Macaca mulatta: one gene and its partner. The protein of the gene in region 1 purifies or fractionates together with the protein of each later gene. This does not show direct contact. Links are inferred from orthologs where the notes say so. Each region holds a gene or a part of one and is shown on either strand. Other genes may lie near its edges.

Region 1 (4,204 bases):
CATTACGGATACTCTCTGCTTCTGTAACCTCCACCCTTCCACCAGGGGATGCTCCTATCTGCTCACCAGGCCGTGGTCATCAAAGGCCCCTGCACAGAAGTCCTGATACAGGTCAGGATCCAGAGGTAGGTCCTCATCTGAGAGTGGCTCAGGCGTGGCTGTAGCCTCAGGAGGCTCCTTGACTGCTGATGATGCCACTGCTCCCTCATCTTCACGGATGCGCCCTAACTTCTGTGATGGCTGTGGCTGCTGTTGGGTGGGCAGTGGCCGGCGGGGCCTTGGCAGGGACTCTGAGGGCGTCACTGGTGAGAGCTGCGGGGCAGAATCTCAGGACTGGCCCTGACCGCCCTGCCCGCATGCCCCGCCCCACCCTGGGGAGCTGGACTCACCGAGGAAGGGAAGTACTTGTACGATTCCTGTGCCGGCAGGAGGAAGGCCCAGGTCAGCCCCAGGTGGATGGAGGGCGGCCTTGCCCTAGCCCCACCCACCTGGCCTGGCCTTACCTCCCCAGACACACCTCCCCACTACCCCTTACTACCAGGAATGCTCGCCCCTGTCTTATCTGTACTGACGTGCATGACCAACTGGAAACACCTGACCCCACTCTGTCCACCCAGGGTTGGTGGGGGTTCTGCCAGCCCAGCATACCAGCTCATGCCCCATTCATTTGGACATGACAGGTCCCTTCCCACCTGTCTAGATACAGTCAGGCCCAATCCCACCTGGCTTAGCCATGCCTAGACTACACTAACCATGCATGGACCCACCAGCTCTCCCATACCTGACCCTACCCAGCTCTGTCCATGCTCACCCGGGCCCGCAGCTGGCACTGGCGCAGCCGGCACTTCTGCCGGATCTTGTTGGGGCCCCCAAACTTCTTCATGTCCCGACAGAAGTCACAGTGACCACAGTCCTCAGTGCGCCGACATGCCTCACACTCACCACACATGCGGGCTGACCGTTTGATCTGCTGCTGCTGCTGCTGGTGATGCTGGAGGAGGGGGCCCAGAACAGAAATTATGGACCCAGGCAGGGCTGAAACGGAACCACTTTACACATCTACTCACTTTATGCAGCCACTCACCTGGCTGGGTGTGGCCACCAAGGGCTGCGGCGAGGATTTGTGGGGCGAAGCAGAGCCCCGAGCAAGCATGGCCCCAACCCCTGTCCCTGACCCTGCCCGGCGCTGCAGGTCTGGATCGGGGACAGGCCTCTTGCGCCCTCCACCCTCATCCCGGGGCTCACTGCCGTCCCGCTCATTGCCATCCCGCTCCCGTGACTTCTTGTGCCGATAGCGAATCTCTAGTTTGGGGTCTTTCTCTGTGGGGCAGAGAGTAGGGCCAAAGTGAGTGAGCACTGGAGGGCCTGAACGGTCCCAAAACCTCTTTCTTCCTCTTCTCTCCCTTACTATCCCACCCACCTACTCTGCACCCCTGTCCAGGGCAGAGCTGCCTCTTCCCGTGGAATCTTCTATTACCACTCACAATGGAGACCCCATTCCAGCTCACCACAGACGTGTATCACTACTCCCCATGACCCCCCATTATGGCTCCTCCTCCTCCCTTGAAGCCCCACCTGCCTTCCCTGTCCATCCATGGCCCTCACCTCTGCACTCCCGGCAGTACCACTCCCGGATGGCCTTGGCCATCTTCTCAGTGATCCGGATGCAGTCCCCATGGAACCACTCATTGCAGTTGTCACACCCGCTGCGGAGGATGGGGCAGGCGGTGGAGATGTGAGGGGCGCGGCCCATCGGCCTCACCCCACCCTGCTAGTGTCTGCCCCGCCCACCTCTCCCGGGCTCACATCATGAAGCAGTTGATGTCCGGTTTGCGACAGATGCAGTAGATGGGCGCATTCTCTCCATTCTCCGACTTGCTGTCCTCCCCAGCATCTGGAGGTTCTGGGTCTGAACCATCTCCCTCCTGCGGGATACCCCCATTACGGATCCTTAAACAGCCCCCACCGTGGCGGCTTATCCCATTACAGCTCCACCATGGTCAGCAGGGATCCCCACTCTGCCTGCAGATTTCACATCGGGGCCCCCCAAAAACCTCTCCATCACAGTCCCCACTGACCTCCATCCCTTCCCCTGACATCCTATTACTTTGCTCCATACTTCCCATCACGCACCCACCGACACCCGCTCCCTGCGTCCACACTCGCTAATGGGCCATCGCGATCCTTCATCGTGGCGCCCTCACAGACCCCGCGTAATTCACTGCGGACTTCCCATCGCGGTCTCTACGCACCCCTCCCTGTTTACCTCATAGACCCACCTGGCACCCGCACCCACCCCCAGTCGCGGCTGTCCACGGATCCCCGGACACGAACTCCTCGTCACGGCTCACTACAGACCACCCAGTGTGACTCCTCACAATCCCCGATCACGGTTTCCCACGGAACTGCCACCCGGAGTCCCCACTAAACTTCTATTAAGGACTCCCCCACCGTGGCTCACCATAGAACTCCCAGATGGTTCATCATTCTGCCCACAGACTCCCGCCGTTCAGTCCACAGACTCCGGTTACGGCTCACCACAGACCCCTGAGTCGGCCGACAGACCCCACTGTTGCCAACCCCACCAACCTCCACCGCCGAACCCCTCCCTGAACCCGGTACTCACCATATCTCCGCTCCCGGCGCACTCCCTCGCGACCCCCGCCAGCAACCCGCGAACCTGCACAGACCACTCGGCGGCGTCCCAGGCGGTTGCAAAGGCGCCCACAACTACTTCCGCTTCTGGTCACGCCTCCCAGGCAGCGTACTCCTATTGCGCAAGCCCCGTGCGTCGTCTCCGCCGCAAACCAGTAGGTCGCTCGCCTAGAGCCCCCGAAGAACCCTCAGGCGCCGCCATCTTGATTATCGTATCCGTATGGTGGCCGAATCCACACGTTCGCCGGGAACATGGCAGCGCTCAATTGTGGCTTTCCCGAGGGCGTCGCCACCTTGTCAGTAGAGTCCGTACGGCGGCTGCTAGTACGGCCTGGACGTACAGGCAACATGGCTGCACCTACTGCGTGACTTCCTCATAGATGCCGTCATCTTGGAATCTGATTCCGTACGAGGGTCGAATTCGTACGTTCCTTGGCGACACATGGCGGCGACCTATTTGCGGATTCCTCAAGGGCGCCGCCATCTTGGTGGTTGATACCGTATATTGGCAGCTTGTCAGGCAGAGAGGTTCACAGGTAAAGCGGCCGCTCCCGAAACGCTACCTGGATCAAGTTGTATTCATTCCTCCATTCTGTCTCTTTCCCCTTCCACATGTATTGATGGGGTGTCGGCAGGCTGTGTGCCTTGCGGGGCGGAGGAAACCAGTTCCTCTGTCGTCTCCGACTTCACCTGCCACCACTCTTTCCGGCTCTCACTCCTCCCACTTGTCATTCTTCTGCCAGGCCTGGCACGGTTCGGCTTCTATTTATTTTATTTTTATTTAAAAACAATTGTTAAACTAATATCAAATCTTATTTTAGTTATATAAGCTGCACAATAAGCCTAAGCACAGTTTACATTGATTTATTGTTTAGCATTTAGAACATTTTCAAATATTATTCTAAATAAAGTTGCAACGAACATTCTTAAACATAGATCTGTATGCTCATACCTGATTATCTCTTGTGAAATGTGATATACAAAACGGTGTCACTCTGGTTAACAGCTGTAAAATGGAGCCTGGAAGCCATTCTTTCTAATTTTTATTTATTTATTTACTCATTTTTTGAGACGGAGTTTCGCTTTTGTTGCCCAGGCTGGAGTGCAATGGCGCGATCTCGGCTCACTACAACCTCTGCCTCCCGGATTCAACCTATTATCCTGCCTCAGCCTTCCGAGTAGCTGGGATTACAGGCTTGCGCTACCACGCCCGGCTAATTTTTTGTATTTTTAGTAAAGACGGGCTTTCACCGTGTTGGCCAGGATGGTCTGGATCTCCCGACTTAAGGTGATTCGCCAGCCTTGGCCCTCCAAAGTGCTGGGATTACAGGCGTGAACCACCGCGCCCGCTCCGCCTGGAAGCCATTCTAAGGACTCCTCGCAAACTTGCAAAAAGGAAAACAAACAAACCAAAACTAAAACACAATAGGAACTTGCCTGGAACCCTTGAATTGGTCAAAACTGCAATGACCACACCGTCCTGGAAACCAGCTATATTTCACCAGCGCTTCATCTCCTGAACAACAACCAATGAACTATGGACTGGTGC
Region 2 (3,517 bases), on another chromosome or scaffold:
CTCACCTGACGGATGTTCTGACCCACGTATTCGATGACCATCTCGTCAGCAGCAATGGGTTCCATGGCAAACAGACCCCACTCGTGGATCCGGCTCCGGCCAAATCGGAGCTTCTTCTTCCGGAACTGGGGGGCAGAAGGGAGACTCAACTGCCAGACGCCTGCCACACCCCAGACCCTCGCTCTTCCCAGACTTCCTGGGCAGAGAGCATTCTGGCCGCTTACCCCCCAACTCCACCTGAGGGAGCCACAGGAGCTTGTTGGGTGGTCCCCTGGCCTCTGCCCCTTCCTGCCCCACTCTACCCCACCCAGGCCCTCCCGCAGCCCGGTCTCACCTTGAGCTGGTTGAGTTTCAGCAGGTCACTGTCCATGATGGCGGAAGTACCGATGGCGCTCAGCAGCCTCCGTTGCTCGGACCGGCGCTCGGATAGCACGCGGTTCGTCCCCTGTGAGATGCAGGGCAGGGAGGAGGTGAGCAGGGCAGAGAGGTGAGTGGTGGGAGGAGCACGCGGCGGCGGGGTCGGGCCCACCTGAGTGTCCACGCCCTCCAGCTGCCGGGCCGAGACTGGGCACACATCCAGGTACTTGTCCTTCTCCTTCTTGCTGATGGGGTAGTAGCCTTCGCTACGGGCCGAGCCTGTCTGGTGCTCCCGGGGCCCATCCTGGGGCCGCCGCTTGCGTTTTGGGGTGGTCAGGTTGGTGAGTGCGGGGTGTTAAGGAAGAGAACGGCTCCTCTCTGGCCACCCGCGTCCCAGCCAAAGGAGAGGGCGGGGCCCACGCCGCTGAACATACTCAGGTGAGGGAGAGGGGAGGAAGCCCCAGCCCCATGGTTCCTGCCAGAAATGCTTTGGAAGGCAGAAGAGGCACCAGGCGGAGAGAAAAAGATGGCTTGGAGCCAGAGGGGAGGCAGAGTCGGGGACAGATGCAGGTGCCAGGAGGGGTCGGAGGAGGACCCAAGCCCACGTGTCCCGGGGAAGGCCGCCGGCCCCAGCGCCCACGCTCAGGATATTTGTGTGATGAACCCAGTGGGTGTCGTTGAGCCAGTCGGCCCCGCTCGTCTGCTGCAGCAGCCGCTCATAGGTGAGCCGCAGGTAACTCATGTCCTCTGAGTCCAGGCCCGAGTTCCAGATGTCGTACAGGATGGTCATCTGTTCAAACTCACTGCGCGGCTCGTAGGCGCGGGGCGGCCGTGGCGGGGGTGGGGGCGGTGGACGGCGGCGCCGGGCGTGGGAGCGGAGGCTGCGCCTCCGGAGGGCGCCCTCCCCATCACTGCTGCTGCTGCTGTCAGAGGATTCCTCCTCCTCCTCTTCCCCCTCTTCCTCCTCCTCCTCCTCCTCCTCTTCGCCCTCCTCCCGCTGCTGCTGCAGTTGCTGCGGCTTGGGCTCCTCCGCCTCAGCCACCACCACCTCGGGGGCCTCCAGGACCTCATCCGCTGGGGAACTGAAGAGGGCGGCGGGTGCAGGCACTGGCTCTGGGGGCCGCGGGGCCAGTGCCGGTGCTGTGGGCTTGACGGCCAGGGCGTAGTTGTGCTCCAGGAGGATGTGGCTGAGCAGGGGCCCAGGGCGCTCAGCCTCCTCCGATGTTTCTGTGGCCTCCGAGTCGTCAACAGCAGGCAGGGAAGGCAGCCCCCGCCGGGCAGGGGTCAGGGCCAGGTCAGCCAGGACCGCCAGGTCTACCTCTGTCCCTGGCTCAGCCTCCTCTTCCTCTGTGGCGCGGCCTCGGCCTCCAGCCCGGCTCCGGCTTCCTCGGGACACCTCCTCCGGCCAACTCTTGACCAAAGATGCATGGTCCAGAGGCAGGTTGCGGATGGTCCGCTCCACGCCCCGGGGGGCCTTGCGGGAGGCTGGTCCAGGAGACTTGGCCTGCGGCGGTGTGGCTGTAGGGGGCTCTGGGGCTGGCACCACCTCAATGGCAGAGAAGGAGACAGTTTTCCGGCGTTTCTTGGGTGGGGGCAGGAGGGGGATGGGAGAAGAGGGACGCTCATCGGGGCATGGGGTGGGGGCTGGGGGCCCAGCAGGTGGTTCTGGGGGAGGGGGGGGCACACTGGGGGGCAGCTCCTCCGTGGGGCCTGGGAAGGAAGCACAGAGGAAGGAAAGGAGGTCAGGGCGACCCAGGCTCAGCCGCCCTGGCCGCCCATGACCACAGGCCGTGTGCTCTCCCCCGCTTCCACCCAGGAACCTCGGGGGGACACAGACGCTCTGGCCTCAGCCCCACATCCCAACAACATGAACTCCCTTGATGAGAGGAGGTTTCCCACCCGTTCGTTCCCACTGTGACACGTGTGGGGTACACACACACCTTCCATGTCCTCCCGGAGCCACAGTCCAACAGGGGACACCACCAACACATAAGCTGTAGCCACGCTGAGAAGGGCAGCACCACATGCCCTGGACTCTGCTTTCCTACCCAGACTGGCAGGACAGCCCTGTGCCCAGGCCCCAGCCATGTCCCATGCCAAGGACCCAGTCAGCTACATTTCAGCTAAAACATCCATTACCTCCACCATAAACAATATTCTCAGTTTAGCGAGGTGAACATGATACAATCTAAAAAGCAGCATCTCTGTATTAAAATATTTTATGAAACTTGCCTTCCTCCCCATCCCCTACAGAACTGGAACATGCCCCGGGGGGAGGGGCAGGAGACAGCCCTGCCAGAGAAGTGGGGCTGGAGCGGAGATCCCAGGATGCGGGTGGCTGGGGAGGGAACACATTGGCTCCAAGCTGGGGGTGCTGCCTCCCCAAAGCACCCCCGGGACAGGGAGTGCATCCTCCCTTGGCCACCATCCCTGGGAAAGCCTGCATGAGGCTCTCAGAGCCAGCCCGATGGATTTTGTGCCTAACACCAATCACACCTCTTACGTAGCGTAATTCATGTAATCCTCACAACAGCTCAAAGAGGTTCCTATCTTCTTCTTTTTGCCCGAGATGGAGTCTCGCCCTGTTGCCAGGTGGGAGTGCAGTGGCGTGATCTCGGCTCACTGCAACCTCCGCCTCCCAGGTTCAAGCGATCCTCCCGCCTCAGCCTCCTGAGTAGCTGGACTACAGGCATGTGCCACCACACCCAGCTAATTTTTGTATTTTTAGTAGAGTTTTATCATGTTGGCCAGGATGGTCTCGATCTCTTGACCTCCTGCTCCGCCCGCCTTGGCCTCCCAAAGTGCTGGGATTACAGGCGTGAGCCACCGCGCCCAGCAGAGGGTCCTATCTTACAGACAGGGAAACAGGCACAGAGATGCGGTCACAGTTACCAGATGACAGAACAAGCTCTGCTCCCAGGCCATGTGGGTTGAGCTCATGCTCTGAACTGCAGCCCAGGGACTCACTGGCTTCACAACTGGCTTCCCCACTCAGCGCCAACAGGGCCCAGCACCAGGCCCAGCCCTATAAGGCAGCGATTCACCTGAGTCCACCGCACTCCCAACCCTGGCGCCCTGAGCCAGGCCCTAGGCTGTACCTTAGGCTCTGGACACCTGCTGGGGTCTCAGCCTGTGGCAGCAACCCACTCCAGGAAGCTAG

Evidence for each region. The genes of interacting proteins can lie anywhere in the genome.
Region 2: the proteins of CXXC1 (region 1) and SETD1A purify together in Homo sapiens (affinity purification with western blotting; 16 studies listed by BioGRID and IntAct, counting the BioPlex papers as one, with this or other methods). This does not show direct contact. The link is inferred for Macaca mulatta from reciprocal best matches to the Homo sapiens genes CXXC1 and SETD1A.

Annotation. Positions count from the first base shown.
Region 1 is NC_133423.1:42,016,537-42,020,740, reverse strand, and holds the start of CXXC1 (CXXC-type zinc finger protein 1), read right to left. Parts: upstream 2,801-4,204; 5' UTR 2,630-2,800; coding exon 2,627-2,629; intron 2,548-2,626; exon of another isoform or gene 2,465-2,547; coding exon of another isoform or gene 2,462-2,464; intron 1,926-2,461; coding exon 1,807-1,925; intron 1,707-1,806; coding exon 1,606-1,706; intron 1,321-1,605; coding exon 1,085-1,320; intron 992-1,084; coding exon 812-991; intron 417-811; coding exon 390-416; intron 313-389; coding exon 67-312; intron 1-66. UniProt on the Homo sapiens protein: Transcriptional activator that exhibits a unique DNA binding specificity for CpG unmethylated motifs with a preference for CpGG.
Region 2 is NC_133425.1:29,612,061-29,615,577, reverse strand, and holds part of SETD1A (histone-lysine N-methyltransferase SETD1A), read right to left. Parts: intron 2,068-3,517; coding exon 1,009-2,067; intron 703-1,008; coding exon 530-702; intron 446-529; coding exon 335-445; intron 126-334; coding exon 6-125; intron 1-5. UniProt on the Homo sapiens protein: Histone methyltransferase that catalyzes methyl group transfer from S-adenosyl-L-methionine to the epsilon-amino group of 'Lys-4' of histone H3 (H3K4) via a non-processive mechanism.